Arabidopsis thaliana: one gene and its partners. The protein of the gene in region 4 purifies or fractionates together with the protein of the main gene of each other region. This does not show direct contact. Each region holds a gene or a part of one and is shown on either strand. Other genes may lie near its edges. The genes, in order: PBB2, AT1G62020, PAF2 and RPT1A.

Region 1 (7,437 bases), on a different chromosome or scaffold from region 4:
CAAGATTCTTCATCATGGCGAAGACTAAAACAAGAAGCACAGTAGCCGAAAAGGTTTGAACAGTTCCTAGCTCATTCCCTATTCTCCGGAAATCCTGATCAGTTCAGAAATCCCGAGGAACACCCACGATTCGGACCCAAAATGTGATGGCCGATGGGTAGTCCTTGTGTATAATCGGTTCCCACCTTACAATAGAAAGCATCCAATGATTATAATTGAAAGTCTCCGTTTTCATCACCTCAAGAATATCTTCCTCTCTCTCGAAATCTAACCTGAACGTTCCCAATCCCAAGTCCCTCCCAACCACTTGACCCTCTAGTTTCCAGATTCTAGGCATCATCAAAACTAGTGATCCAACACTCTGAACGTCAGGATTCATAATCTTTCCGATAAGTGTCGTCCTCTTTAACCTTCTGATTAATTCCGAGTTGTCAAACATGCGAACTCGAATTGTTCTTGGCAGGGGCTTAATGCCCTTGCCATTGTTTTCTCCAAACCGCGACATGGTACCGTAAGAAACCGAGTTTGATCGTATGTAATGTCAATGTGTGAGTGTGACCTTGTCTGAATATTAATCTAATTTATAACACATAAGATCATCGGTGAAACTGCTACATGAATGAATCACAATTCGAATCATGAGGATCTCTTACATAATATTAACATAAATTGACAAGTTATTTTTGCATGATTGAATTCCATTACTGTTCCCCAGTGATTCTAATTTTTTTGACTAAGGAAACCATATCAATAATCAAGGATTCCGTAATCTGTTTATTATGACATTTCTATTACAGGATCCATTATGATTCATCCCACACGAAGATTTTCAAACTTGTGATTGTGAGCGTAACATAATCGAATCGATTACAAAGATATAAACTAACTAAAATATGTTAATTTATATTTTGTTTTTTTATATATATATATATTTATGATTTTAATAAAACAATCATATTATTTTAATGCGTTGTTGTTTTTGTTTTCACAATTCTATTATTATTTCGAGCATCTCTTATTTTTGTATCTCCACCAATTCTTTTATCATTTTTTATCATTTCTTATAAAAAAGTGTAATTCAATCATTTTACAATATAGTATGTATGCATTCCAAAAAACATTATTGTATGAAACGAAACGAAACGAAACGAAACGAAGGAGTAGACGGTGGATATCAGCCTTAATTAATTAGAGTCAAAGCATTGTGATTAGTTTGACTTTTACATCCGTCACTATGTCAACGTTAATGTATTTATCCCCAACTTGCTAATGATAGAACAATATTTATTTTGATTTATCTTGAATTTCAACAGGTTAATTAGCTAATTATAGTTATAACATTTAAAAAAAACTCAGATGCGTGAACAAGATCGCAAACTAATTCCATGCATAATGCATCTCTTGACTTTGAAATGCATTTCTTGACTTCGAATCCCAAATGAACCATTTTGTTATATACTTAATATATAATATATTATATATATATATAACTTAAAGCGTGACATTGTTCTCCCAATTATATAGTTAATCACTATAAACTACAACTTGGTTTGATAGTCAAATTCAAAACCAAGACTCAATATCACTAAGTCTTCTCCATTAACGCTATAAATAGATTGAAATCCTAAGCTAATTACAATCACAAACACAAACACAAACAAAACGCCTCTCAATACTAAATCAAGAACATTGAATAAAACAATGTCTTCACGACAATCGGTGAGGCACCCGAGTCACAACCATCCATTGCGCGGTCACAAATGCGAAGCCAAAGACGAAATCATCTGCTCCGGTTGTGATCTCGATCTGGTTGGTGCAGCTTTCAAATGCACAAAGTCATCAGATTGTGATTACTTCTTGCACAAGTCATGTTTTGAACTTCCACGTGAAACCAACCACAAATCTCACCAACCCCACACTTTGACTTTAATCTATTCCCCAAAGTCAACGTACACGTGTAATGCTTGCGGCGAATACGGATCAAGTTTCACGTACAACTGTTCAATCTGTCAGTACGATGTACATGTCGGATGTGTTTCAATGCCTGAAACAGTGAAGCGTGAAGATCACCCACATCCACTTACTCTTCTTTACGGTTCTCCTTATAACCAACCCGGTTTAGTTTCCAAATGCGATGTTTGTGAAGACATTGTACCGGATAATCTCTGGTCGTATTATTGCAAGGAATGTGATTACGCTACGCATTTACACTCATGTAAGAAAGAGGAAGAGGCAAAGAAAGAAGATCAAAAAGGAGAAGGAAGTAAAAACTCGATGAATTCGGAGTTAGCTGCAATGTTAGAGGCTCAAAGAGAAGTGGAGAGGATGCAGATTGAGATGCATTTGGCGATGCAAAGTGCTTTGATTTCGAAAAAGGCGAATAAGGCAGCTCTCAATTGCATCTAATTCGAAGAAGTTGGGATTCTTCAAATTCTCTTTACTTGTGTCTGTTTTTCTTCTTTTTGTTGCTTTTTCTTGATTTATGTTGTTGTTGCTCCTGCAAACTTTTCATGTTGTTGTTGTTGTTGTTTTTTTCTTTGAAATTGTTATCTGAAATAAAAGAATTATCAGTTTTTTTTTTTGAACGATTATTGCTGCTTTCGTTTTTGTAACCATGTTACCTTTGCATACTATGTTTCAAGTTCCATAATCCATTTTATATTACTATAGGAAAAATATATAAGTATTGGATCACCCCTACTTATAGATTAAAAATATTGGGAATAAAGTATTGAAATTGTGAGATTTGGGGTTATTTAAAGTAGTTTGTGTTAGTGTTATCGATGTGTTAATAACGGATGGTAAAATAAAATCTAAAGTTTAAGATTTAATTATATCTATATTATCAATATAGTATTAATTACATTTTATTTTATATTTCTGTCAATGTTATTTGTTCGTAAAATCAAATTGATCTCAAAACTGAATAAAAAACAAACAAATCCAGACCTTGCAAATGCAAACACACAATTAGAAGTGATGATGTCAAGAAAAACACACACACAATTAGAAGTCACATAATCATTAGGGAGTTAACAAATGGGCTCATTTTGACAGAAGTTAAGCCCATTAAAGTAAAGATAGGCCCATTTATAATAGAGCCTCAAAAATAGTTTAATTGAGGAAGAAGAAAACTCTCTGCTAAAGTTGCTTGCTTTCTTCTTCTTCTCCGATTCGAGCTTCCTTCCTCTCAGCAAAACCTTCAAGTAAAGGTAACATCACTCTTCTATAAGCTTAGATTTTTCACTTTTATTCTTCATACTGTCGTCTCCCTGGATTCTATCTTCTCGATTTTGGTGATTCGAACACGATTTTACCTATCCTTGAGCGATCTCGATCCCAACTTTTTGAGTTGATTTTATTTCAGGAGTTTTCAAAAAATCTGTTGTTAGTATGTGATTATTAGTTTCTACACTCTGTTCTTCTGGTTTCGTATCATCAGCTAGCTAGCTTTGGTTCTCGAATTTTGCTTCTCAAGATTCAAATTTCACTTCGTTACTCGTTTTTTTTTGTTTGGGTGATGATTTGATTTTTCCTCATTTTGTAGAGTGGTGAATCGGAAAATGTCGCAGTCTTCCGTCGATATACCGCCAAAAGGTGGGTTTAGCTTCGATCTGTGCAAAAGGAATGATATGCTGACACAGAAGGGTCTTAAAGCGCCGTCGTTTCTCAAGACTGGAACGACTATCGTTGGATTGATATTTAAGGTCTTTGTTTCTATCTCACATTCTCTACAATGTAATGGGTTTTGGGTTTTCTTTTATAGCTTTTGAATGGTTAGCATAGTGTTATTGTTGGATAGTGAGTGCTCTATTTTGGTTGTTTGCAAGTTATGGAACTATGGAAGTGAACATAGTGACCTAAGATTTAAGAATTGTGGGCTAAGATGCAAATGTGATTGAACTTGTGTTTGTGGATGGCTGCTTATCAGTGAATTGGGCACCTGATAGCTTTAGATAAGATAACATGAAAGTCTGAGGTGTTGTTGCTTTCTCAACCCTTGACCATATGACATCACGTTGATGTTTTTATGGTCTATTTACCTCTATATTCTACAACATTTTATGAAACATGTGATTATGATGTGACATTCTCTTTTAGATGATTACTGATTTCATTTATCTGTTTTGTATAGGATGGTGTAATACTTGGGGCTGATACACGGGCAACTGAAGGGCCTATTGTGGCTGATAAGAACTGTGAGAAGATTCACTACATGGCACCAAACATTTACTGTTGTGGTGCAGGAACCGCTGCTGACACTGAAGCAGTAACTGGTAATTTTCTTAACTTCCAAATTTCTTTACTGCTACCCTAGATCAAAGTTGAATTTCTCGGAACTTCTGTTAACTCGATCAAAACCCAATGCTTAAGTTATTTTGATTGCTATTTCACTGTTCAGATATGGTCAGCTCACAGCTGCGGTTGCATAGATACCAGACTGGCCGAGATTCTCGAGTCGTTACTGCATTGACCCTTCTCAAAAAACATCTTTTCAGGTATTTTTGCTTCACCATGCTCAGAAAATTGTTATCTTTACTAATAGGCATACATAATTTAACTTCTCAAGTATCATTCAGCTACCAAGGCCATGTCTCAGCTGCTCTTGTGCTTGGTGGAGTTGATATTACCGGGCCTCATCTTCACACGGTGAGTTTCAAATTCCTGATCAAAATTCTCAGCTGTAGAAAGCCTTTTTCAGGTTCTTTCATTTTGTATTCCATCTCTAATGTTCTGGTCAAAATGCAGATATACCCACACGGTTCTACTGACACTCTACCATTTGCTACAATGGGTTCTGGTTCCCTTGCTGCCATGTCAGTGTTTGAAGCAAAGTATAAAGAAGGTCTAACTGTAAGTAAAGCAGAGACATTTATCTTTATGTTGTTTAGATCTCTTCTTGGCTGTTTGTTTGATGATTGACTCAAATCTTCCAGAGAGATGAAGGAATCAAGTTGGTTGCTGAAGCCATATGCTCTGGTATATTCAACGACCTTGGTAGTGGTAGCAATGTGGATATCTGTGTGATCACTAAGGTTTGTCATACTCCATCTTCCTCTGCTTTTAATAGATAACTGAAGTATCTAGAAATTCGTTTGCTTCATGACTGACAGATATTAAGCTAAACCAAAGTGATTCGCTACAAAACCAGTACTCTGGATTACCTATATCTTCGATTTGAAACTGATTGTTTGAGATGATTTTGGGACAGGGGCACAAGGAATACTTGAGGAATTACATGGAACCAAACCCAAGAACCTATGTTAGCAGCAAAGGCTATTCATTCACCAAGAAAACCGGTAAGAATCTACTTGTTGCAACACTTACTCGTCTCTGGTATCAGTCATGATTATTGAAGTGTTAAACTTGGTTTAATTCGATCTTCCTCTTCTTCTTACTGTTTTTGTTTCTCTGTGAAAACAGAGGTTCTACTCACCAAAATTACACCATTATTGGAGCGAGTCGAAATTGTAGAAGTGGCTGGTGAAGCTATGGAGGAATGAATCTCGTGTGAGAGACAGATACTAAGAGTGAAACCATTGTTCTACCTCACATGACAGTCATGTTTACATTTTCTACTTTGTTCAATATGAACGACTAAAATCGAATCGTAGTTGCCTCCATTTCGTCTTTAAATTTGGCTTGAACTTGTGATTAATGATTATGGATGATTCGGTTTTGAAATTTAGCTCTCACATAATTTTCAAAAGAGCTCTTTCTTACAAACAAAATTGTGCTCTTTCTTTTTTTGTCCACAACATCTTAAGACAACTCATCATTCTTACTCTTTTTCTTCCTAGAAGCAAAGCTACTTGGTCCAATCTCTAGTGACATTCTCTTTGTTCTGTAGAAGAGACCAAATTGAGTTATTATGAGACACAATCAAAAGGATGATTGTAAAAAAAGAGAAGAGCAAATATAGTAATGTACCTTTCTGAGAGCTCTTCAGATTCTTTGTCATCACAATGAGAACCTGTACCCAAATCAGATGCAAATCTAATTAAAGTTTCGATATGAGATGACAGTAGAACCAAAAAACAAAAGAGAGCAACCTTTACAGTTTTCTTCATCAGTCTCTTCATCTAACTCTGAATCAGAACTTGACTTAGGCATCCAAAAGTCGGATTCCTCAGAACCAGAATCTTCCTTATTGTGTCTTGGATTGTTTACTTGTGTTTCCTCAGTCCTTCCGCTTGATCCAGCTCCTCTTTCCACTTGCTCTATCAAATTTATCAACATCAAAACATTATAAGCCAAGACATACTAACTAAGATTCATTACACGATTTCAATGAATCTGATATCATGGGAGAAACAATTTTTATAGACCTAATTTGTGAAGAAATCTTTTCCCATTCACGTGTTTCCAGATATGTTCCTCGTTCTTGTTCACAGTATCTCCAGTTAGCTTGCACACAAGTTTCGAGCTGAGAACATAGCCAAAAGCAGGGAGAAAGCTTATAACTTGTAACCATTTTCAATACTGGCAAAACCAGAAGAAAGCTTACAACTTTAAACCATTTTCGATGCTGCGAACAAAGCCAAAAGGCTCAAAATCAGAAGAAAGATTATAACTTTTATAACCATTTTCAATGTATTCCACACTGACTGAAATTAACAACCAATGCTCCTCAGTGGTCTAAAGAAAAAACAAAATTAACCAGCTTTTTACTAGTAGCAGAAACTATGAAGCAAGGATCTAAACGAAACTTGAGCTAATACAATCTGAAACTCTAGAGAAATCCAAAGTCACAACTTTTAGCTCTCAAAACAGTGAAAGTTTCATCCTTTCTTGCTCAGAAAACAATCGAAGTTTCACAAAATAATCAAAACAGAGAGAAACATCATAACCCTCCAAAATTAAAGCTTGAATCGTGAGATTAGTAGAATTTGTGGATGATTCAATCTTACACTCTTATAAACCTAACCCCCAACTAAAAAAATCTGATTTTCCCAGAAACACACAAAAATTTGAGAAACTTATTTGACTAACCGAGAAAGTGGGCATTGCGAGAACATGTTGAGAGGAGGCTTTCCTAGAGACAAAGCGTGATTGATGAGTCCTAAACGACACCGTTTGTTACGAGCGTATGATTCTACGTCTCCCGCTAAAACCTCGTGACCAGTCTCGACGCATCTGAGCCGTCCGTTTCCAAGATCAACGAACGTCGGAGACCCAAACAGACTCTTCCCTTCTTTCGCCTTCTCCTTCATCATCGTCACCGATTCACTTAAGCTTAAGGAAGCATAGACTCTCTCTATTATTCGTGGACAACAAAATTGAACCGAACCGAATTGTATTCAATAATTTTGTTTTGGTGTAAACGATAGCTTTACCGAATAAATTTAACCGAACGCAACCAATAGACATTTTAGGTCTGATTAGTAACACATTACAAATTTTCTGGTTCTAAACCGAAGCGGTAAATGTTTAGGG
Region 2 (9,463 bases), 2.9 Mb from region 4:
GGTCTTGTTGTGTTTGTCGTAGAAAGATCGACAATGATTACGGTGGTTATTCTTGCATCAAGGAAGGTTGTTCATATGTGGCTCATTCAAAATGTGCCACACAAAAGAACGTGTGGGACGGTAAAGAACTTGAGGGAATACTAGAAGAAGATGAAAAAGTTGAACCGCCGTTTGTGAGGATAAGTGATCGAATCATCGAGCATTTTAGTCATCAACATCATCATTTGAGACTTGATGAGAACACGGGTAGAGATTACGACGTGAATAAGTTGTGTCAAGCATGCATCATGCCAATCTATTCCGGTAACTTCTATTCATGTATGCAATGTGATTATATTCTCCACGAAAAATGTGCAAATCTCTCTCGCAAAATGCATCATCCGATACATCCACATATGCTCACTCTCAAAGTAGGATCTCGGGGTCTTGTGGAACATAGTGTTGATCCATGTTCAGCTTGTCCTTGGAAGTGCAAAGCCGGTTTCTTCTATGAGTGTGAACAACAGGATAAAGATGAATATCTTTTCAAGCTACATGTGCAGTGCGCCACAATGTCTGAGCCATTAGTCCATAAAAGTCATGAACATTCTTTATTCCTAACATCGAAACCAGAAGAGCAAAGAAGATGTTCCGTTTGCAAAAAGTTAGAACAGTTTTCAACAAACGAAACATTCAATTGCATTGAGTGTGACTACTTTGCTTTGTGTTTTGGATGCGCCACTTTACCTCAAGAGGTAAGGTATGAGCATGATAAACATATGCTCACTCTTTCTTATGGCGAGGAGACATGCATCACGACTTATTGGTGTGATATTTGCGAGCAAGAGATAGACCCAAAGGAGCGGTTTTATACGTGTGGTGAGTACTGTTGCGTCACCCTACACATTGAATGTCTGCTTGGGCAGGATTTATACGTGAAGCCTGGTTCATCTTGGATAAGCTTCTCCTTCAATGGAGAGAAGATATATGTTCGGGCCAACGATCATCATATGACTCGACCTATTTGCTCTCATTGCAAGAAGCGTTGTCCACACAAAATAGTTTTGGAGTCGTCTGGTTCAAAATTTTGTTCCACATCTTGTGTTGGTTATTTTTTGTCTACAAAGGTGAACACAGCTGGTCATCGCGAATATCTACAACGGAGAGGCTACGGAAATTATGAGTTCTCAGCACTGACGTAGAGATTAGTGTTCTCTGATGTGTCTCTGTTTTTGTGTTACTATCGGTTTAGTTGCGTCGGGTTCTGTCGGATCAATCTTTTTATAAAAGCTCGATTGATAAAACATGCAAGGAGAAAAAACTATTTAGCAATCAACATGTTACAGTGTTATCTTTCCCTAGAACTACAGTTAGTTGACTAAACAATTTGGTTTACTATCGGTTCAATTAAAAAAATACATTGGACTTTATCGGTACATTTCGTTGTAGATAAATTTGTAATTAGGAACGACACTCACAAAATTCAAAAATTTGGAGAATTTATAAAATCATAATTTCACAAGTAAACCATAATTTCCGAAATTGAAATTACAAGTTATCCAGTGCTACTATGCATCAAAAAGAGAAATTATAAAGCAAGAAGCTAAAGTTCTCATGTGTACTAAAAGATAAGAAACAACTTTTAAAAGAGTAATAAAAACCTGCAACGAGAAAAATCCTCAAACCTGATTGGTAAGTACACAATCACAAAAACACCAAAAGTTCAACACTCTTATTCTGTTAATAGAGCATCTCTGTATTGATTATGAAATCTGAAATTGATCACCGGACTTGAGATGGAGAGCATAACAAACCAGATGCGTCTGCGCCAATCACTGCTAGATCACAGACCGTGCAGATGTTTCCTTCCTGGTTTGGTACAAACCGGGCGGTGCAGTAAGGACATGAGACGTCTTTCTGTCCTCTGTAGATCGGGACATATGTGGAACCACATACCACAAAAGGGTTCCTGAAGTCGTAGTTAAGCTTTGTTTCATCGGTCATGTTACGTTCAGCGGCTTGCACAACTTGTCTAGCCATCTTGGCTTGGCTATCAACTGGGCTTGTTTCCAACAGTCTTCTGGCGAAATTAGAAGCAGTGGCGAGGTTCTTTGCCTTGTAGCAGACACCCATTGCACTAAGCAGCGCAAGCCGTAAGTGAGGTGTTTGGAGGTTGCAGTGAGTGAAGTAAGCAGCGAGCTCTTGCTGCCTCACCGGATCATCTTTCATCTCTCTCCTCTTGAGCTCCATTTGAAGACCAAGGACATATTCTTTAACGATAACGATTAATTCCTTGACCTCATCCACTTCTCTTCTTGTCTCGACTACCACTAGAGGGATGGTGTGCAGGATAGAAAGGAAGAGACGGAGAGCCTCAGTGAATTTCCCAGTTGTTGTAGCTTTGTAGCCGGATTTGAGCTTCTCGTCTAGCTGAGAGAAATCATAAACAAGAGCTGGTGGGCTACGGACGTTGGGACTGGAAGACTCGCTCCATCCACGCTCAATGGCAAGTGGAACCACAGGACATGAAGAAAAAGCACGCAGATAGCTATGGCTGCCATTGAACAGATCTAGAAACATCGATTTCAAAGGTGTAAAGTTCTTGATACCAAGCTGTCTGTGGAGCAGACGCATTGCAGTGTCGAAGCTTCCCGCTGCGGCTTGCTCAGCAGCAAGAGAAGATTTCTGGCTCCAGCTCTGACTTACGGGCATACCTTGGGGAGGTGTCACAAAAACAGATGAACGTGCATTAGCAGAGGCTTTAGGAGTGTCAAGCTCTGGTGGGAGCACCAAGTCTTCAAGTCCCCATCCACCTTCCTCATCGTTTTCTTCTTCACCTGCTTCTGCAGCCGCCAAAATGTCTTCAATATCTCTGTTCTCCATTCCATCAACATTAATGTCAAGTTCCTCACCCCAATCCCCTTCAACATCTTCTTCATCAACAGTACCTCCTCTGTCTGCACTCTCAAGTCCTCCTTCAAATATTCCTTTCATCACTCTAAGAAGAGGCCAATCACCACCACACATGATGGGTGTCGGTGGCATTAGAAGCGATGGAGTTTTTCCTTCAGGCAATGAGGGCACGTTGTCTCCTAACTCAGTTGCCAGTCGCTCAGCAATGTCATTTAAACCATGAACCGAAGCTGTGATATAAGCTAGAGGCAAATGACCAGCATTCTCCAGTATCTTAACACGCTCTTTAACATCTCCTAGGTAGAGAGCATTGTGAAACTGTCCCATTACGTTGTTCTTCACTTCTGCAATCTTCATCAACTTTGAAAGCTTGTCCAAATTTCCAGTAATGAGATAAAGAAAAGATAACCTCTCAAAGTTCTTTGTCTGCTGGTATGCAAACTCAACAATTCCAGAATTACCTTGGCGAAGAGCCTCCACTCCAAGTCTATACCAGTGGTCTTTCTCGTTAATCTGTGTAGCGGATGCAACAGCCACACTGATGTTGCCACTTTCAAGAGCCAGATTGAATCGGATCCTCTCATCTTCAACAAAATGGAGGGCAACTTCAGGGAATCCTTTCTGCTGCAGGTAAGCAATCATAGCCTGTCCACATAGCTGAGAGTTCTTTATCATGCTCATGACATGATCATATCTCTTCCTCAGCAGTGAAAGCTTGAAAATGTACTCGGTTGCATTAATGGTGATAGCCTTGTTTTTGCCATCCCGATCCAAGCAAAAGATTGTATTACCAGACACCTTGGTGATATAGATTGGGACATCCAGGGTTCGGATGATTCCACTATCTCCATTAGGAAGACAGTACTTGATATGATTCAAAGTTGTGTAAATGAAGACACCATTATCGTCCCAAGCTCCACTTTTCACACGTATCGTCTCATGAAGCGTGCACTGGAGAACAAGTTTTTTGCTCGCGATAATGATAGTATGTTTGCTGAGCAAAGCAACACTCTCCATATCACTGGACCAAACAACGTACCTAACAAATGGTGTCTGAAGCTCACCAAGAACAAGCCTTTGCTGGAGGTCAAAGATAACTACTTTATCCTCAGATCTACAAAGCAAATTCCCAGTCCCAGCATAAAAGATAGCATCTGTGGGAATAGGCAGAGGACTCTTTTTAACCACCTCATTCTTTAGATTCTTGACTAGCACTTGGCTGGTGCTTTTCTCGAGAACAGCAAATCGGTTACGGGCAATGAATACTGCAGAGCCACCTGTCCCTCTCTTTGCATCTTGCACAACGTCACTCCTGCCAACACTATCTTTCGGTATGATGTACAACTCATACGAACCACCATCCAGATCTGAGCAGATCAAAACTGCATTTTCAGTGGGACTGTATGATAGAGTCCTAGGACTTTGATTCAAGCTTGGAGTACCCGGACGCCGTATAGGGATAACTTGGGAATCCCTTTGAGTTGAATATTCATAGTACCGCAAGAATCTATCCTTGGCATAGAACAAAGAATCCCCACTCAAAGCAAATGCAGGACGTTCTCTCTCAAGCTTGAACACAATCATGCCACTGTCATGTCCTGCTGCTAGTAGATTCATCTCAGGGTGAACTGCAAGAATCCAGAATCTATCATGTTCACGACGGAAAGTCTGAAGTCCAGTTCGCTTGGTAGCATCCCAGACACGGATGCTCTTATCTTCAGAGTTTGATACAATTATGTCCTGTTTTGCATGGAACATAACAGATGAAACGTTATTCATATGGCCTCGCAATGTATCCACCTCCCAAGCTTTAGTTTCTGCAATGATATCGTTAAAAACATGTTACCAACTCGTCTTTGCAATTTCGAGATTCATCTAAGGATTAAGGCATGCAGAATATTTTCATATCAGTAACATCATTGACGATTGATAGCATATAAAAATTGTAAGCACAAAAGTATACCACCAAATAATTACCATTCATACGCCACAGCTTTACTTGGCGGTCATCTGCACCCGAGACAATAAGAGGCAGGGTGGGATGAAAAGCAGCCCAGTTTACACCTCTATCATGACCTTCAAGAACGTACTTGACAATGGCATCAACTCCACCAAAAAGATCACTATTCATCTGAGTCAACCTCATGATATCATCAGCAGGAGATACAGTCTTCTTCCTAAGAGCACCAATATCCCAAACACGAACAGTCTGATCTAACGAAGCTGATACGACGAGGTCTTCTTTCGGATGGAAAGAAGCACACATAACATAATGATTGTGACCAGTCAATACAGAAACACAAGTCCGTGATTGCCAGTTCCATATACGGATAGTTTGATCATCACTTGCACTCACAATCCATGGGTACTCATGATGGAACTGAACCGTGCGGATATAATCAAGATGCCCTAGAAGAGTGAAAAGGCACCTGTGGTTTTTGTAGTTCCACACTTTAATCTTGTAATCATCCCCTGCAATATCAAGATCAACATCATTGTAATGCAACAAATCATGTATAGATCCATTCTTTTGAGCTTATACGATTTCACTAACAATGATTCCGAATTATATATACCTCCGGAGACGAAGAGAGGCTGAGAATTGTGGAAATGAACACCACGAACAGGTCCTTCGTGTTCGTCGAATCTATCGATCAAAGTACCCATACGATAATCCCAGAGCTGGATCACGCCACTGTGCAAACTCGCGAGAATCCATGGTCGTTTAGGGTGAAAACTCAGTCCCTTAACTCTGTTACTTTTGGTTTCGAACTTTGTCAACATAATCTCTCAACGATAATGGCACTCTACAAAAACCAGATCACAGAAAAAAAAAAGCGAATCACGAACAATTAGAAATAGATCTAAATTGCAACAATGGTAGTGAGATCAAAACAGAAATTCGAAATCGTAAGGAGAGGAACAATGGTGGTTACCACAGATCAGATGAGTTTACGAACGAAGCGAAGAGGAAGAGGAAGAAGAAGAAGAAGAAGAAGGTGTATAGATCTGAGTGAGTCGCTATGCCCAGATCTCGAGTTCTCTCTTTTGCGTTAATTTGGGATAAAAACATGTATTCAGTGATGAATTCTATATATCCTTAAAAAAAAAAAGGATGAGTTCTAATCTTATTGGTCGAATGATGCAATTTAAACATATTTTTTCCTATTCTTTTTTAACGTCGAAGGAATAAATAATTACTCTAAATTATTTTCTGCCAAAAAAGCTCTTACGTAATTATTTTTTTATGTTTTTGGTCAAATTTAATTTAGAACCTTTGATTAAAACTAAGTTGTAATTTTATAAAAACCAAATAAAAATTAAACTGAGTAAGAAACAAAGTGAAGCCTATTAAAAAAAAAAAAACTAAATATTCATTCACTTGATTAAAAGACGTATATATTATCATCTATATCGTTTATTTTTAATAGATTGGAGCCTCAGAACGTCAAAAGTGATTTTATATATGATGAGCATTTCTAAATTTTTGTATACTATTGTTGAACATAAGTGAAAAATAAATTATGCATAAGATGAACAAATCACAAAAAAACATGAGAAATAATCTAAAAAATATTACGTCTCTATTTGTAATCACGGTTATCGAGTTTAAAAATCCAATTAGCGTAAATGTAATGTTTTCAAAAACATTGCAAAACTTGAAAACAAATTGATCATATGATTCTGAATGAGAGAGACCAATCAAACCTACACACAAAAAAAAAGTGATAGGCGGCCGAGCTAAACGCAGTTTAGGCAGCTGAGGAGGAGCCAGGAGGTAACAACAACCATTAGAGATCTAGTGACAGGTTCATTCACTCCCGTTCAATTATCCATCTCACACTTGCTCTTTGCATCAACTTATTTGCTATCTTAATAGATTCTAAAGTGTATTGATTCATGTTCAAAGAACAATCTTTACAAAAGAAAGGAAAACAGCAGAGAAGATAAGAAAAAGAGATATCCACGAAACATATAATGTATTGTTGTAATATAGACTAGTTAATGGTCTCCTTCTCCTTTCCTTTTGCCTTATAGTACCAGAGCTTGGTTGGAATAGCAAACCATGTAACCAACAAAGGAAGATGCTAGCGAGGTACAAGAACAATGCACAGTTTCTTGATATGACATTCCTTGGAGCAAAAACAGTAATCTCCAATACCAGCTTATCATCATGCTTCGAGACGTACCAGCTTTGATTAGGTTATAACTTGGGACAATCCTCTTCTCCAGCCTCTAGTTGCCACTGGTCAAGTCAACTTCTTTCATCAAATTACAATGCACTCAAGATAGCGCTTGATCATCATTATGCTGAATCCTAGGCCTATACATGTTTTAATGGAGCTCACTCGACACCATTGTGAAGTCATCATTATGTTGCAGGTTTGATGAAATTTGAAGCTTTGGAATCGGTTAGGAAGTGTAATGAAGACACTGTCTCCAACAGAAGGACTCAAGTGGAAAACGAAACTCTAGACTCTAGTGTTGCCCTCCTTGGCAAGGGATAACACTAAAAGACCTTGAATTGATTAACTACACCTATTTGCTTTATATAGATGGATCAACCAAATCTTTGTGGTTATGGATTCCATGAAGATTAACACTCATCAAACAAACACTAAAATTATTCATCCTCGGCTGCTTTACCACAGTGCTTCTTGTTAACAAATAACCAAAAATATCATGTAGTAAATAGTTGTCTTCTGTTTCTAGACTTTTAATGTTGAAGAGTTAAAAAAAGCTAGTAAAAAAGAGTTTAACAATTACAATTTGTCAGTCAGATTGCATACAGAGATGGATCAAGTAAATGGATTGGATATATCAATAGACTATAAAAGTCTTTTCTACTTATTTACCTTATTATAAATCCTCAACTAGCTTTTCTACTCTTTTCTACTAGCTTTTATAGTCTATTGATATATCCAATCCAAGAAGCTTGAAGATTTATAATCTCACTTGAAAGATTATTAGTTTGAGGCTTGATGGAGTTTGAAGATGTAGCAGAGACTGAAGAGTTGGAATTGGGTTGAACAAGAAGGTATGAAGTATACTGAAGACTCTAATACAAACTTAAGGACTCAAGTAGAAAAAGCAAACTAGGAATTTGAATAAACCGTTCCATCGTTTGCGAGTGGATCTTACTCCTCAGAGTTGTCTACCAAATCCTGCGAAACAGGAAAGATTTCTGCCACGAAACTAGTAAAATGAAATATATCATATGCTCTGTTTAATTTCCAAAACAGAACAAAGCACATCACAAAGATCTTAACCATAATTCATATCAACAAGACAAAGAAAGATAATTGTAAAGATTTTTTTCATACAAGACTGATTCATCATCCTTCAGGGTCAAAGGCTTAGACACTCATACACAAAATCTATTATCTACTTCCAAAAGTCAAGCAACAAGACTCACTAATGAATCTAAACCTAACAGAAAACAAAAAACAATCCTTAACGTTGCTCATTGTTCTAGGCGTGCCTTCTGATCGGTGAGTGAAACACGATTTCCGGTGAAGATTGCCATCAGCTCAGCCACAAGCTGCTTGTCATCATGTTTGCTAACATACAAATTTAAAAACGACTCACTAGTACTTGTCAAAACAGAAGACATTGGAGGGAGTTCACTTTCAAGCAATCCTTTTGACATGAGAACTTTGATAACATTACACCTTGGGACAGTCCTCTTCTCTAGGCTGTATCCAAGTACCTGAGGGATTGAAGCCACAGCCTTTACTGGCCAATTCATCTCCTTGACCAAAAACTCAGTCTTCTTCTTCACCGCCTCTGTAGAATATCCAATACACGGAGGAAACCGCTTGAACATCATCATAAACACATCTCTGCTGAATCCTAGACCTAGAAATGTTTCTATAGAGTTGGCTACCTTCTTCTCCGAATGTGTCAAAGAGCGTGGCCACTTCTTGAACATTGCCCATACATCATCAACAGAGAAACCTACACTTCTATAGACTCGGATTTTTTCTTCAATCGTTTTGTCGCTCATTTGGTAAAGCATATGCAAAGCGTGCACAAACGTTGAGGTGGTTGGATCAAAACCCATCTCAACTACCTTCTTGAGTGATGCATCAAACTTTTCTTTTCCACAAACAGGCTGCGATTTGGAGATGAGCAAAAGCAGTAACCGCTTTTGAGGCACGCCTAGTTCTCTCAAAACCAAGATATTTCTGATCTTGTTACCCTGTGCCAAAGAATGAGATATCTTTTCATACTTGGAACTCTTATCAGCTTCTATAATGACTTTGATGAAATCATAATATCTGCTGAGAGATTTGCCCTCTCTCTTCCCCAAGATTTTAGGAACTGTGGAAACAACCTCAGTGAGCTCAGAGCTTGAAGCTCCTCTGGACTGCAAAAACTGAAGCTTTGAACCAAGGGATGTCGCATCATTGTCTATAAGCACTCTTGAATCACTCCTGATGATGCTGGAGATCTGAGAATCAGTGAACCCATAACTTCTGAGAAGATCCAGAACGGAATCAGAATTTCCCTTGTCAGTGAGTTTTGTAGCTAAACGCAGTGAATCAAGGAAGGACGAGGATTTAAAGGT
Region 3 (6,969 bases), 2.7 Mb from region 4:
CGTGTGTTTTATAAATAAAGCGGATTACTCATTACCTACGCATGTTTACGTTCTCATTAGTAATTGAAATCTATAAGTTATGTGGCTCATCCAGAACAACGCCATATATAGATGGCGTGTGTTTTATAAATAAAGCGGGTTACTCATTATCGTGTGTTTTAAATGCTACTCATCTCTCCTGTTATATGTGGAATCTTTTGCTACGAAGTAGGGCTACAATATATTAAGACATTTTCCGCAACAGTGCTTACAAGCTTTTAAGCCACATAATATTGAATAATTATGATTTCCCTCCAAACTCTCGAAGGGCTGCTAATCGATGGAATCTGTCGCTTCTGTAAATGTCGCATCAAACATATAACTGAATTGTATTTGAATTACATGCATAACCACAATAATTCATGTGTTTTAACATTATCGCAGACGTCATGCGCGACGTGTCGTTTATCTGGTGGATGCTTAGTGGTTATCCTATGTTATATTTATACGAAACACGTTGTTTTTGGAATTTGTTTCACCCCTTCCCCCAATGCAACATTGGAACTCGTATATAACACTGTCGCCGCATTTAATGCAATAGATACGTATCAAATATTTTCCTACGGATAGATTTACATTGTCAAATCGCAAATAAGATTTGGCGACCATATTATGTAGCAAGTTGCATACTAATGATTACTGATATAACGAAACATTGCATGTAATGTATGATCTCTATAAGTTGATACTTTGCCGAGTTTATTGCCCAATACACAATTTCCAACTCACGCCCATTGTTTTCATACAGCGTATGCATATAGGAATTACATGTGTTGTTTTTAAATAACATTCTATGTTACAGTTACCATTGACCTTTTTATCTGTTAGTCTCCATTGAATAACTAGTCGCATACAAAGCAAACATCTGTATATATATATGGTCCGTTTTTGACATATTTAGTGATATAAGTTAGTGTTTAAATATCAAATGCATCTGTAAAATCTAAAAGGTATGTGGTTTATAGAATTAAGAAAAAAATGAACAAATACATCTATATATATCGTGTGTTTAATAAATAAAGCAGGTTACTCATTATCTACGCATGTTTATGTTCTCATTGGTAATTGAAATCTATAAGTTATGTGGCTCATCAGGAACAAAAACATATATAAATGGCGTGTGTTTTATAAATAAAACGGGTTACTCATTACCTACGCATGTTTATGTTCCCTACATATAGACACCTAGTGTCGGAACTCACGAGTTCCCGTCTATTTTTCCAGGTTATTTTGGTTATTTTACACCCCAAGAAAAAACTATTTACTAAAGTTTTCTGACGTATGACTATTTTGCTAATTTGTATGTCGAATTTGGCTAGTTAGCTAATTGACACAATTTTAATACTCTTTGTTTCCAACCAAATAATACAAGATTTTATCAAAAACAAAATATCAAATTAAAAATCTAATAACATGTGACTTTATTTGTTTAGATTTCTAAATTAATTTTATTCCAAACCAATTTAAACTACACATGCTAAATTATTAATTTTCATAAAATTAGAAATAATAAAATACAATAACTTGTAATTCCCTCTAGTCCATGAAGTTTGATGTTTTAAATTTTACTTTTGTTTCACAAAAGTTGATGTTTTAAATTAATATTATTTTCATTAGTGATCAATAGAGAAAGGAAAAAAAGTAGAACTGATATTATTAAATTAATTAAAAAAATAATAAATGAATTATAAACACGAGAGGGAGGCAAGAAAAAACTACTACAACAAGAGCACCATCATCGGAAAATACTTCATGGAGAAAACCGACAGTTTCTTTTGTCAAGTGCAATTTCGATGCGGACTTACACAGGAATAGTACTTAAAGTACGGGTGGATGGATTATACGAGACCATGAAGGGATAGCAAACACATGAGGATCTTCAATTTTAGATCATGTCAACACTCTCCTAAAGGCTGAGACGAAAGCGTTACTTGTGGCGATGCAACAAATTTGGATACAAAAATACAAGAAAGTACAATTCCAAAGAGATTGCGAAGTCCTCATTAAAACCATCAATGGCAAGTCTAATAGAAGTAAAATTGCTAATTTACTTCTAGATTTAGAGTATTGGTCTTCAGATTTTCATCTATTGTATTTACTTTCACAAAACGTCTTTGTAATAGTATAGCTCACCATTTAGTTTTCCTAATTTTACGATTTTTGTGTTTTAAGCGGACTATTTTGCTTCCCCAATTTTTACGATTTCTGTGTTCAAAGCAGACTTTAGGAACGAGCCAATTTGGTTCAAAAACCTTCTCTGTAATGATCTACATTCATAGATTAAAACATAGTTTGCAGTAAGAAAAAACAATAAAAATAATATAAAAGTTATTTTTTTTAATTTGTGAAAAATCCAAAATATCATTGTTTTAGGATCAGAGGGAATAGTAAATTTATAATCAGTGTAGTGAAAAATGTGTAAATAAATAATGTAAAACCAATTGAAACTGCAAATGTTAAATTATGAATTAAATTAATTACTATAAAAAGAAATAATATAATGCTAAGTATTTATTTATAAAATTATAATCCTTTTAAATGTGTAAAAAATAATAAAGAGTAATGGATAATTAAACCCAGCCCATTAAGTTTCATAAGCCCATTTTACTCTACTGTCTTCTTTCTCTTTTTTTTGACAATCTTTACTTTCTTCTTCTAAGCTCTATAAGAGAGACCATCCTCCTCTAGCTTGAAGCAAACGAAAAGCTTTTGAAGAACAGAGGAACAAGAAGAAGAAAGATGTTCAGGAACCAGTACGACACAGATGTGACAACATGGAGTCCCACAGGTCGACTATTCCAAGTCGAATACGCCATGGAAGCTGTGAAACAAGGCTCCGCAGCAATAGGACTCAGATCTCGCTCTCATGTCGTCCTCGCTTGTGTCAACAAAGCACAATCAGAGCTCTCTTCTCATCAAAGGAAGATCTTTAAAGTCGATGATCATATTGGTGTTGCTATTGCTGGTCTCACTGCTGATGGTCGTGTTCTCTCTCGATATATGAGATCTGAGTCTATTAATCACTCTTTTACTTATGAGTCTCCTCTTCCTGTTGGTCGTCTTGTTGTTCATCTTGCTGATAAAGCTCAGGTAAATTGAGATTTTTGGGTTAACTTTTGAATTTTGACCTAGAATTTGCTAAAGGGTTTAGTTTTATGATGTGTGAGTATCTGAAAGTTTGAAGCTTTATGTAATTGGAGTAAAGTTTAGGTTTTTATTAGCAATGTGGCCAATTTTATTTGTAGAATGTGTGTGTTGTTATGCAAGTAGTGATATTGGTTTGTGATCAAGTCTTAGTGATTGGGAATTAGAGATTCTTGTGTTGTTAATCATATCCAGTTCTGTTGCTAGTTGCTTAATCCGATTAGAAAGAGTTAACCTGTATACCCACTTTGACGATAGAAGTGTATAAGAATGTGATGATTTTGGTCGTTTGGTTGTTTCTGTGTTGTCATCGTCTGTTCTCTTTGCTTGATAGAGTTGTTTTTGCTTGCAATTCTAGAATAAATATACGTCTTTGTTGATCTCTTTTTGGTTTTGTGGTTTTGACTTGTATTACTTTGCATTTGTTTACTTACTTGTAGTTGTAGTATGTCCTGGCCACTTTATTTACTTGCCTAATGAAGTATATTTTCAGTAAGATGTTGGTTTACAGTTGTGATAGAAATTTGTGCTACATGTTCACTACTTTTGGTGTTAAACGTAGTGTTCTCAAGTTAGATGATGTGTTCACAATTTTTAAAAGGTTTGATTGCTACGTCCCACTTACTTTCATGTCTGTCAAAAATTAAGTTAGCTGCTGTATCTACATTTTCAATTGATTTCTGAGAACGTATTGATATCAGTCTTGTAGTTTGAACAACACTCTGATTTCATTCAAATGTTAAGTCATTTGTTTGTCTTGTATTAAACATCTTCATAAATTATCTTTGAGCAGGTATGTACCCAACGATCATGGAAACGGCCTTATGGTGTGGGTTTGCTGGTAGGTGGATTGGACGAGTCAGGAGCTCACCTCTACTACAACTGCCCTAGCGGAAACTACTTTGAATATCAAGCATTCGCTATCGGGTCTCGTTCACAAGCTGCGAAAACCTATCTGGAGCGCAAATTCGAGAGCTTCCAAGAATCATCAAAAGAAGATCTGATAAAAGATGCTATTATGGCCATAAGGGAAACTTTGCAAGGGGAAACACTGAAGAGCTCGCTCTGCACTGTTTCTGTTCTAGGAGTCGATGAACCATTCCATTTCTTGGACCAGGAAAGCATTCAAAAGGTGATTGATACGTTTGAGAAGGTTCCTGAGGAAGAGGAAGATGCTGGTGAGGGTGAGGCCGAACCCGAAGCTGCTCCTGGTGCTGCTGGAACTGGTGAACAAGGTGGTTCAGGTGATCAAGATGTTGCACCAATGGAAATTTGAGCAAGAGGGAATGAGTTCAAAGTTGGATTTTCTAACCAATTTTCTTGTGTGTAGCTCTTTGATATGTTCCAACTTCCAAGTACAATTGTGGTTTTTATTCGGCTTTGTTTATTTAACAGCTTGGAACAAGGAGTTATTGAGTGCCACTAGCTTATGTTTAGTCCTACTTAAGTCAAATCTGTCACATGATAATAATAATCGGCGAATCGCCAACCTAGAGAGTGTATCAAACAGACACCATTTTGAATGAGAGAAACAGCGAGAGAAAGAATGAAAGATTAATCCAACTTTGTTTCTCTTTCTGCAAATTGTTCCTCGAAGAAATGACTTCATAATGCAACCATACATTATTGAGCAAGGATGATAAATCTCCTGCTTGCTCGGAAGAAAAGTTAAAACCAAAATAATATCTCTCTTGACCTTCCAGAGAATCAATCCTGTCTTGAAATGATTTCAACACACAAAAACAACCTGAGATTGGAATTAGAAGTACTGAGTAGACGGAACCTTGGCGACGGGTTTACCACCTGGTAAGACATTGTCGGGAAGAATCAACTCCGGTGGAGTTTCACGGGTAATCCCAAGCATTGAATCGTAATCCTCGTCCTTGCGTGCATACTTCTTCCTAAGCGCTCTCTCAACCTCGATCTGCTCAAATGACTTTGAATTCTCTGAGGCGTGAATCTGTGCGAGATTGATGTAATTCTTTGCTGACTGTGAGATGTATACTATCTCTTCATCTGTTAACTTTCTCATGAACTTTGCTGGATTTCCTCCCCACACCTGCCACATGAAACTGATAACTTATAGATATGTCCTTGTAAATATATTCTCAGGTTGACGGTTGAAGAAAGTAGTTCAAAAGCATAGCGATATAAGAAATCCGTCTAATTCCTCATAAAACATTGGAAACACAAGAACCCTCTGTTACTCCCAACTCACCCTTGTTTCATATACAAGTAGAATTGCAACGGAAACAAAGGTGGTTCTCAGATTTAGACGATATATAAATACTATTTACTCTTCTTTTTGATCAAAATATAATACAATTTACAGGCATATCATTTCATTAACTAATTCTGTATCAACTAAATTGTAAGCAAAGCAAAAGTGGATCTACTTGAAGAAGTTCAGCTGGTCAAGCCTTAGCTACAGGTCAGCGTAGGACTAAATGCAGCAGACTACAGCTGCTATTACTTGGTTAATTAGCAGTTCGTTATTAGGCTTGGTAGAGCTTCAGGGTCCGTGATAAGTAAACCTAGCTAGAGTTCTATTTTTGGTTCTTGATACTTTGGATTTTCTCGTTCAGTTTAGTGAGAAATAAAGCAGTTTCCAGTTCCAGTCTTATCACAAACTCCGTAAGCAGTAAACCAGAAAAGATAAAGTGGAAAGAAAGAAACCTCTCCAGAAGGGATTCGCGTGTTCTGTTTCACAAGAGAACCAGCAGCAACCATGGCATGTTTCTCAACCACCACACCATCAAGTAGTGTTGCTCCCATACCAACAAAAGCATCATCCTCAACAGTACACCCATGAATGACAGCACTGTGACCTGCTCCGTTTCATTTTACAAACAAAACCTTTAACTAACAATCGTGTAACACAACATAAAAACAGATACTTCAAAACTGATAAATCGCTTTTTAAGGTTTACCTACTGTTACATTGTCCCCAATCAGAGTAGGTAGAACCTTGCCACTTATGTTGGTCTTTGCAACATGTACAAGCGTATTATCTTGGATATTCGTCCCAGATCCAACACTGATGTTATTCACATCACCTGCACAAGTTAGAAACCCAGATTAACATACAATAAGTTTCACAGCTACTTCATGACACATTTTATCGACAGTACAATAAATCTATGTCCAATGATCAGGACAGTAACGTATAACAGCGATACAAGATTATTAGAAGGTAAAGAGAACTTCATTTCCTAAAACTAAACTATGACTACTTTGCACAATATACTGCTGCAAAATTTGGTACTTCTATCGAACCAAAGGCCATTAAGACTTTCTAGAAGTAATAAAGCCTCACCTCGAAGAACACAGCCATACCAAATCGACGAGCCTTTTCCGATCTGAACATCACCAATAACAGAAGCACTCGGAGCCACAAACACATCTTTATCCACCAATGGTGATTTATCAAACACATTCATCAACGTCCGATGCCTCGACACTGAAAACAAACACAAATTTCTCGAATCAAATTTTTTCAATCTAAGCCACAAATTTCTCCAATCAAAGGTGAAGACACAAATTAGAGATAACGAATTGGATCTAGGGTTTCAATAGAGAGTATTAAGTGGAAGGATCTGGAAGCTTACGATGTTCCTCGATACGGTGACTTCCTTGAAGAAGAGAACCAACGCGATCAAGAGCTTGACCAGTTCCACGAATCCAGTTACCCACAGTGTAAATTGCTCGTCCTAGGGTTCCCATTTTTTTGTGATTCTCCGATTACCCAAAGTGTGAAAATGAGAAGGCTTTGTTGTTTTTGGTGTC
Region 4 (7,995 bases):
TTGCTGTCAAGAAATCCACAGTGGTGGTTCCTTCAAATGTGAGACTCTATTCAGTTGCAGATCTCCAAATTGCTACTGGCAGTTTCAGCGTAGATAATCTTCTTGGAGAAGGGACTTTTGGACGAGTATACAGAGCTGAGTTTGATGATGGAAAGGTAAGATATTATAATATTGTTATGTAATCCTAATCTCTATGTCTCGAATGATGTCATAATGTTGTTGGAAAACGTCTTATCTTTTAGGTTCTTGCTGTGAAGAAAATTGATTCGTCTGCTCTCCCACATGGCATGACCGATGATTTCATTGAAATGGTATCGAAAATAGCCAATTTGGATCATCCAAATGTGACCAAGCTTGTTGGTTACTGTGCTGAGCACGGACAACATCTCGTGGTCTATGAATTCCACAAAAATGGATCATTACATGACTTCTTACACTTATCAGAAGAGGAAAGTAAAGCATTGGTGTGGAATTCACGAGTCAAGATCGCTCTTGGGACTGCACGCGCATTGGAGTAAATTCCATAAACAATTCATTGCTTAGCTCACTATTAAAAAAGAAACGAGTATTTTGGTTAACTGAAAGTATTGTTCTTGCAGGTATCTGCATGAAGTTTGCTCACCGTCTATAGTGGACAAGAATATCAAATCAGCTAATATTTTACTCGATTCAGAGCTGAATCCTCACTTATCAGATTCTGGTCTCGCAAGCTTCCTTCCCACAGCTAATGAGGTTGGATATACAAACGTTTCTCAAAACTCTTTACCATTTCTCAACTTATTTGGTTGCTTAGATCATTCTGATATGTGCAGTTATTAAACCAAACCGATGAAGGGTATAGCGCACCTGAAGTATCAATGTCAGGCCAATATTCTTTGAAGAGTGACATTTACAGTTTTGGAGTAGTGATGCTTGAACTTTTAACTGGGAGAAAACCATTTGACAGGTAAACTCTATTATGATCCAAACTAGGCTTGATGTATGTAGTTGAGAAATGTGTTTCTGTTTGAATCTTACAACTGGTTATAATTTGAGCAGCACAAGGTCAAGATCTGAGCAGTCACTGGTTCGATGGGCGACACCACAACTTCACGACATTGATGCTTTAGCCAAAATGGTTGATCCAGCTCTTAAAGGGCTTTATCCTGTCAAATCCCTTTCTCGATTTGCAGATGTTATCGCTCTCTGTGTCCAGGTAAACTAATGGTCACAAATCGAGTCTTGCAAATTCAAGAAAGTCTTTTACTGATTTTGGGTCTTGTTTCTTAACAGCCGGAGCCGGAGTTTAGACCACCAATGTCTGAAGTTGTGCAGGCTCTAGTTGTGTTAGTGCAGAGAGCTAACATGAGCAAGAGAACTGTCGGAGTTGATCCATCGCAACGTGCTGGTAGTGCCGACACGACCAGTGATTACATGTAAATGCCTCTACCAAGAGAAAAGACAAACACTTTGCTCCGTCGGATGTTAATCATAGACAATTGGAAGATAGAAAAAAGCAACCTCATACATTGTATAATCCCATTGTTTTATTGTAATTGTATGTTCCAAAGGTGTAGCTTCTAGATCCTTTACATGAACAAAATTCTTTCTTGTAATCTTCTACATTGGTTCTATTTGGGCTTGGTTCAATTCTTGATCATCAACTTGTTATCAATTTCAAAAGACGTGAATTCACAAAAAAAAAAAAACTTAACAAAGAATTTATGAATCCAAAAGTAGTAGACATTGAAGAAGATAAACCCGAGTTACTGGAATAAGTTGTGAAACAAGTACTACAAAAGAGCTTGAAGGGAAGAGACACAAACAAAGAACAAAGAGTGTTTCGGAGTTTTATTTCGGAGTTCTTCTATCTGTCTCAATCTCTCTAATTGTAGACCATATACTTGGGAGTGGCACTGAACTTTTGGTAACCTTTAATGACTTTGTTCACTGCGTCTAGAAAGTCTTTCTCAGTCACAGTCTTTCTCCTAGCTCTGATTGCGTACATTCCTGCTTCAGTGCATACACTTCGAATATCAGCTCCTGCAAAAAGACAAGATTTACAAAACCCAAAGTCAGAACAAATTCCAAAAGACAGAAAAGCTGTTTCATGGTCAAGGGATCATCAATACCCGTTGAGTTTGGGCAGAGGCGAGCAAGGAGTTCGAAACGGATGTCTCTTTCGCAGTTCATGGTTCTTGTGTGAATCTTGAAGATCTGTGTTCTGCTCTCCAGGTCAGGTAGACCAAACTCAACCTTACGGTCAAGACGTCCAGGACGTAAAAGAGCTGGGTCTAGTGTGTCAGGCCTGGATTGAAGAGTTAATACAGAAACACCAATGAGTCAAGCAGTATTATTGGGTTTTGTAGTTTACTTGAAGATGGTAAGAGGGAATCGTAACTGACCTGTTTGTTGCCATAAGAACCTTGATGTTACCACGTGCGTCAAACCCATCAAGCTGATTCACAATCTCAAGCATAGTACGTTGGACTTCGTTATCACCACCAACACCATCATCAAATCTTGCACCACCAATGGCATCAACTTCGTCAAAGAACACAATGCAGGCTTTCTTGGACCGTGCCATCTGAAAAGAGAGTATTATTATACAATTCAGAACAAAATATAGCAGCATTGGCTTGACAAACTCAAGTAGCAAAAAGGAGTGTTCACAATCAATTACCTGAAACAGTTCACGAACCATCCTAGCTCCTTCACCAACATACTTCTGAACAAGCTCACTTCCAATAACCCTGATAAAGCAAGCATCGGTTCTGTTGGCCACAGCTCTAGCCAGAAGAGTTTTACCAGTACCAGGAGGTCCGTAGCAGAGAACACCCTTGGGAGGATCTATTCCAAGCTTCACAAATTTCTCTGGATGAAGCATTGGCAGTTCAACAACCTGCATCAGCAAAGACAACAAAACATCTTACATCACACTAACTTAAGTAAGACATTGTAAGATAAGGAGAGGGGATATCAACAAAATTTCAACATACCTCTCGCATCTTCTCAATCTGCTCCTTGCATCCACCAACATCATTGTAAGTTACATCAGGTTTCTCTTCGACAGTCATCATGGTCACGCTAGGATCGATTTTGGGAGGTAGAGGAATCTGAATCTGATATTTATTCCGATCAACTCTGCAAGTATAAATCAGAGACAGAAAGTTCTCATAAATTTGTATCCATATGAAAAATTTACAACGACAAAAGGAATTGAACTGAAGCAAACAAAACATAGAAAGATACAGTGAGGAACAGGACATACCCAACACGCATGCCTTCCTCAATATCAGTGGGAGAAACTTTATCGCCAAGTCCAACAACAAACTGGAATTAAGAACCACAACTAATCAGTATAACCAAACATCAAATGGTTCGAAAACACATAATTGGTTATGCAGCTAAGGGATTTAATGTACCTTAGCAATTTGTTTGACATTTATGACGTATTTGGCGTCTTCAGTGTTTGGACTTATAATCTTTGTGCATCTCGCAACCTGGATAGAGAAAACGTCAACCCTTTAATCTCTTATAGTTACCATGAAATAAAAGACGATTCAGAGAATTATCAAAGAAAGAATATGCTTACCTGCAGAGGTTGCTCTTCTTGCATCATTTGCTTATCAGATACAAGATCCCATTGACTGGGAGGAGCTAAACCAGTATCAGACTCCTTGATACCTGAACCATAAAAGCAACCAATAACCCTTTTAGTCACTAGCTAATCGAAGTAAACCCAAACAATTGAGCAACAAAGAGTGTGCACATACCACATAGATCGTTGATCTTCTTGGCGAGATCCTTAATTTCTTTCTCCACTTTCTTGATAGGTGCAGAGTAAGGCCCTAACCCCTGCAGAGAATGAGATTTAACAAGGTCAGCAACACAACATATGGAGAGATAACAGATACAACAAAGCATGACTATGAATATTTCCACTTGGAATAAATTCAAACAGTGAGGCAGATTCACTCATATAAGTAGTAATTAGCAAAAAAAACTGAACCAAGTAGAAAAATCAAGCTCATCAAGAACATATCTAGCTCAGGAGGAAACATCAAATTGGTTTGCAAAGAGACGAAACCCTCACATTCGAGTAACTAAAATCTAGTGTAGATCCGAATTCTCCGATGAATCAGAAGAGTAAAAATCGAAAACCCCAATAAAACTTAGGGTTCTAAAAGGGGAAGGCTTACATAAGTCTTGAGGAGAGCGATATCATCTTCATCAAGAGGACGAGGATTCTTCTCGTCTCTAATCTCATCTTCAATATCTCTCACCATTGTCGCCGGATTTCCAAATCGGAGATTTGAGATTCCTAAAGTTGAGAGAAAATGGATTACGATTTATGTGTCTTGCTGAAGAGGAAAACAAGTTCTTTTTTCTTTTCTTTTTTCTCGAAAGGGTAAAGAAGTTCTAATTTGCGTTTAGTCTCGTGGTGACGTGATATAAGCTAAGAACCACACGTGCCGCTCCCACGTGTAAAATGGGCTTTTTAAGCGAGGCCCATATTTTCTGTCTTGTTGGAGAGGTCAGATCAAAATAATCCCACGTGCCAGTCAAACTAGGTTGAGCGAAAAAAACCGCAACCAAATCAACCAAAACTGAACCGAATTTGTTTGTTAACCATTTTTTTTCTTTCTTCTTCTTCTTCTAAATTCGGATAACTAAAACGAAATTGAAACATATACCCCTACCAAAACGGAATTTGCATCAAACTTAACTGAATTACAAATGGTTTTATATAGTTTCAATTATTAGATAAAAAAATTTAACTAAACCGAAACTAATCCATAAACCGGATTGCCTACAACCCTCACACGTGTAAATTGAGCTGTTAATTTCGGCCCATATTCGAGTTTTTTTTTGTTTTTGTATCATTTCTTTTTTTCCTTTTTCTGTGACTCTTGTTTTTTCCAATAGTTCTGAGAAAACTTATTTTTATGTTTAGAGTAACCTTGTACTCGTTCAAAATTCTCAACTGTTTCCAAGTAACAAAGAAGTTTTTAAAGCAACAAGGAATCAAAAGACAAAAAAAAAAAAGAATTGGAGCGTAAGTTATAGCTTCAAACAGCTAAAATTATGTTCTAAAAAAGAAGCCTAAAATGCCAAAAGAGTTAGACTAGATTGCGATATTTAAGAACATCGTTCTTATTGAGATCAAAGGATTTGCAAATCTCTATTATGGTCGCCTCGTCGAGTCCTTCCTCGCTAGCTTCACGAATTAGCTGATATAACTCTTCCGATGGAAGCAAAATCTGTTTATGAGTAAACAAAGACAATTAAGAACCAAAAAAAAAAACTTTTGATTTGAGTATCTTTGATGACAAATAGATCAGCTTACACAAGTGGGAGATTGAGATTTTTGTTCCGGCTTGGTGTTGCTGTTCTTGCTTTCATCTGCATCATCAGTTGAGTCTGGTTTATCAGGATTTGCCTCGTTTGAGATGAGCTTAAGCAGCTTCTCACTTCCCTGAAGTGTCAATAAAGATGATTTCGGGTTTATATAAACCTCTAGATAATGGAAGTATGTATCGAGAAGTTATGACAGACCTGAAGAGCCCGCCAGTGAGAATATGTGCGGAATAAGACCCAGAAGAATGGTATGTTTGGTAATGGCAATACCTAATTGGAAAGAACAAAAGGGTTTGGTGGTTATGAGATTCGATGAAAATAAACGAGTTAGTTGCTAAGGTTCTTGAGGGCTAGCTTCATACTATACATACCATAAATGCACTGGTCAATGGAAGCAAAGTAACTGAACCAACTAGGTACTTCTTGTGCAGGATTGTTCCACTGCAAATCCAATTAGAAAACATAAGTGTTAGAAGGAACAGGGATTCTGAATCTATTACACGTGAAATCGGATATAAAGTTTCATCATTTGAGACAACGGGTAGCAAAGTGATTTACCTCATGGCAATGTGCCGTAGTCTCCTGCGTACGAGTCTAGGATCTAAACTGAAAACATTTGACATGGATTAGCTAAAACGATAACCAATCCAAATTCACCAGAATATATACTCATGAAGACATTCATAAGAGAGATACTTATCCTCAAGTTTACAGAATTTCAAGAAAAGGAGAGTAAATAGAACCTCGGAGGATAAGTGACTTGTACAGAAGTGACCTCCTTAGATATAGACTTCAAGAAAATCTCAGAAGGCTTAACACGAGCCAGAAGCTTCAATCCAAACCTATACATTCCAACCACAACTTGACATTAATAAGCCTATCAACAAACAAAGACCAAAGCCTCAAGAAATGTCTCAAAATACAAAAAGGTAGAGATTTTACAAACCCATGAATCTTGTTCTTTATTGATCCATCAGGCGCTTTCTCAAGACCCACCCAAGCTTTATTCATCTAACCATTACAACAACAACAACAACATTTCTTCAAACTTAGTATTGGAGAAATCAAGGAGGAAGACTGATTAAAAAAAGCCATTCTTTTATCTCATTTCTAGTGGTCCTAAATGAGGTTCGTTGTCAAAAACCTTTAATCAGAAACAGAACCAAAAGCTTATTCATTGGTCGAAATGTTATACACCCAATAAATCTCACTAGACGCCACATAAACACACGGGTATGAATTCTATAAAGAGAAAAAAGTTTCAGACGCCACATAGAGACACGGGTATGAATTCTATAGAGAGAACAAAATTTCAATGTAATTTTACCTTGTCAGAGATGAAATCGACGAGAAGCTCTGCGTTGGCATTGATGGGTTTCGATTCAGATGATATCTTCTTCCATAAACCTCGTACAGTGGTCGGAGTAACACCAGACGGTGATTGAGCAGCGAAAGGGTCAACAGATCTGCTGAAACACCATTTCTTCCCTTTGATCGGAAAAACCACCAATCTCGCTCTCATGATCACTTAACTACGAAAAAGCTCCGATCTTTAGTTATGAAATGTCAATTTGTCATCTGGGTATTGCTTTAAACGACGTGGGTTTCGTATATTCAAAGGAAAAATCGAAACTTTAAGGTAACGAGACCGACAAAGCCTAAAATATTTCACGAGGAAAGACGAAAAGAAGCGGCGGCGCGTCTCTTGGCATATATGGACAAGTTTTTATATATAAGGGTCTTTGAAATCGACTTAAAATTTTGGTATAACAAAGGTTGTCTCTTTAAAAGGCAGTAATGACAAATGGTGTACTATTTGCAATCATGTCAAATGGTTAATGACAGATTAGAAGGCAGTAATAACAAATGGTTAGTACTATTTGCTATAACTGAAGCAATGATAAACTGACACATCACTAATCTCAGATTATATTAGAAGAAACTGTAGCATGGCTTTTACTGTATGATATACACTAGTAAACTATGCACATAAAGAAGAAGACAATTAGGCTGTTTTGTGATGAGAACTCACAAGACAGAGACTAATTTACGTGTTAATCTTTTTATTCATGATCTGCTATAAAATTAGGCTGCTCGTTTGCGCAGAGATACTCATCGCATTCTGAAGCGGTTCCCCAATCTTTTCTGAGTCTTAAGATATCCTCTGTAAAAGTTGAGCCCGAGGCACCAATGAACACGCTTGACAATGCGCATATCGTCTTATCCAACATTGCTTCCACCTTTAAAATAAGATAATGCCATGTATCATTTTGTTGGCATATGTATCAATTCATTCAATACGAAGGAGGAAAGAAAACACACCTGTGAGTCGCCCTCGAGACCATGTCTGTATAACAATGCATCCCATTTCTCAGCTGAATCACGAGCTGGTCGTTTCACAAGGGGGACAGTCTTTCCATTCAGTATCAACAGTGATTGTAGCAGACCAGTTTCGCTTTCGGCTGCATCAGTAGAAAGGTATAAAACCGGTGCCTCGACCTTCTCAATCAGACGAGTGATGCAGCTAGCAGCTTGAGGAATGGGGAAAAAGCAACTTGGATTCTTGGCATTACTGGCACACCAAGAAAATTTCTTAGCTAAGGTTCCTGATTTAATCTTCGTAATGAAATGAACTGAGCTACACCAAAAGCTACT

The links.
Region 1: the proteins of RPT1A (region 4) and PBB2 fractionate together in Arabidopsis thaliana (co-fractionation; one large-scale study listed by BioGRID). This does not show direct contact.
Region 2: the proteins of RPT1A (region 4) and AT1G62020 fractionate together in Arabidopsis thaliana (co-fractionation; one large-scale study listed by BioGRID). This does not show direct contact.
Region 3: the proteins of RPT1A (region 4) and PAF2 fractionate together in Arabidopsis thaliana (co-fractionation; one large-scale study listed by BioGRID). This does not show direct contact.

Annotation. Positions count from the first base shown.
Region 1 is NC_003076.8:16,246,578-16,254,014, reverse strand, and holds PBB2 (20S proteasome beta subunit PBB2), read left to right. Parts: upstream 1-3,089; 5' UTR 3,090-3,212; exon of another isoform or gene 3,213-3,455; intron 3,456-3,547; 5' UTR 3,548-3,563; coding exon 3,564-3,707; intron 3,708-4,135; coding exon 4,136-4,277; intron 4,278-4,402; coding exon 4,403-4,499; intron 4,500-4,580; coding exon 4,581-4,650; intron 4,651-4,749; coding exon 4,750-4,854; intron 4,855-4,937; coding exon 4,938-5,036; intron 5,037-5,212; coding exon 5,213-5,300; intron 5,301-5,424; coding exon 5,425-5,504; 3' UTR 5,505-5,729; downstream 5,730-7,437. Other genes in the region: AT5G40595 (uncharacterized protein), read right to left, coding at 1-94, 239-505; AT5G40590 (Cysteine/Histidine-rich C1 domain family protein), read left to right, coding at 1,702-2,406; AT5G40570 (Surfeit locus protein 2 (SURF2)), read right to left, coding at 5,764-5,845, 5,932-5,974, 6,054-6,221, 6,330-6,427, 6,509-6,529, 6,994-7,217. UniProt on the Arabidopsis thaliana protein: The proteasome is a multicatalytic proteinase complex which is characterized by its ability to cleave peptides with Arg, Phe, Tyr, Leu, and Glu adjacent to the leaving group at neutral or slightly basic pH.
Region 2 is NC_003070.9:22,916,027-22,925,489, reverse strand, and holds AT1G62020 (Coatomer, alpha subunit), read right to left. Parts: upstream 6,004-9,463; 5' UTR 5,829-6,003; intron 5,700-5,828; 5' UTR 5,677-5,699; coding exon 5,469-5,676; intron 5,365-5,468; coding exon 4,870-5,364; intron 4,710-4,869; coding exon 1,762-4,709; 3' UTR 1,466-1,761; downstream 1-1,465. Other genes in the region: AT1G62030 (Cysteine/Histidine-rich C1 domain family protein), read left to right, coding at 1-1,181; AT1G62010 (Mitochondrial transcription termination factor family protein), read right to left, coding at 8,357-9,463. UniProt on the Arabidopsis thaliana protein: The coatomer is a cytosolic protein complex that binds to dilysine motifs and reversibly associates with Golgi non-clathrin-coated vesicles, which further mediate biosynthetic protein transport from the ER, via the Golgi up to the trans Golgi network.
Region 3 is NC_003070.9:17,316,442-17,323,410, forward strand, and holds PAF2 (20S proteasome alpha subunit F2), read left to right. Parts: upstream 1-2,677; 5' UTR 2,678-2,778; coding exon 2,779-3,129; exon of another isoform or gene 3,130-3,976; coding exon 3,977-4,459; 3' UTR 4,460-4,761; downstream 4,762-6,969. Other genes in the region: GAMMA CA2 (gamma carbonic anhydrase 2), read right to left, coding at 4,943-5,242, 5,860-6,011, 6,114-6,239, 6,500-6,643, 6,792-6,906.
Region 4 is NC_003070.9:20,064,057-20,072,051, forward strand, and holds RPT1A (regulatory particle triple-A 1A), read right to left. Parts: upstream 4,445-7,995; 5' UTR 4,269-4,444; coding exon 4,182-4,268; intron 3,838-4,181; coding exon 3,756-3,837; intron 3,667-3,755; coding exon 3,575-3,666; intron 3,483-3,574; coding exon 3,405-3,482; intron 3,313-3,404; coding exon 3,251-3,312; intron 3,124-3,250; coding exon 2,979-3,123; intron 2,882-2,978; coding exon 2,663-2,881; intron 2,567-2,662; coding exon 2,385-2,566; intron 2,288-2,384; coding exon 2,112-2,287; intron 2,023-2,111; coding exon 1,865-2,022; 3' UTR 1,420-1,864; downstream 1-1,419. Other genes in the region: SRF6 (STRUBBELIG-receptor family 6), read left to right, coding at 1-155, 243-514, 600-732, 813-946, 1,036-1,195, 1,273-1,419; AT1G53760 (K+-H+ exchange-like protein), read right to left, coding at 5,103-5,243, 5,330-5,458, 5,539-5,610, 5,712-5,781, 5,899-5,946, 6,084-6,182, 6,287-6,351, 6,668-6,862; AT1G53770 (O-fucosyltransferase family protein), read right to left, coding at 7,404-7,580, 7,663-7,973. UniProt on the Arabidopsis thaliana protein: The 26S proteasome is involved in the ATP-dependent degradation of ubiquitinated proteins. The regulatory (or ATPase) complex confers ATP dependency and substrate specificity to the 26S complex.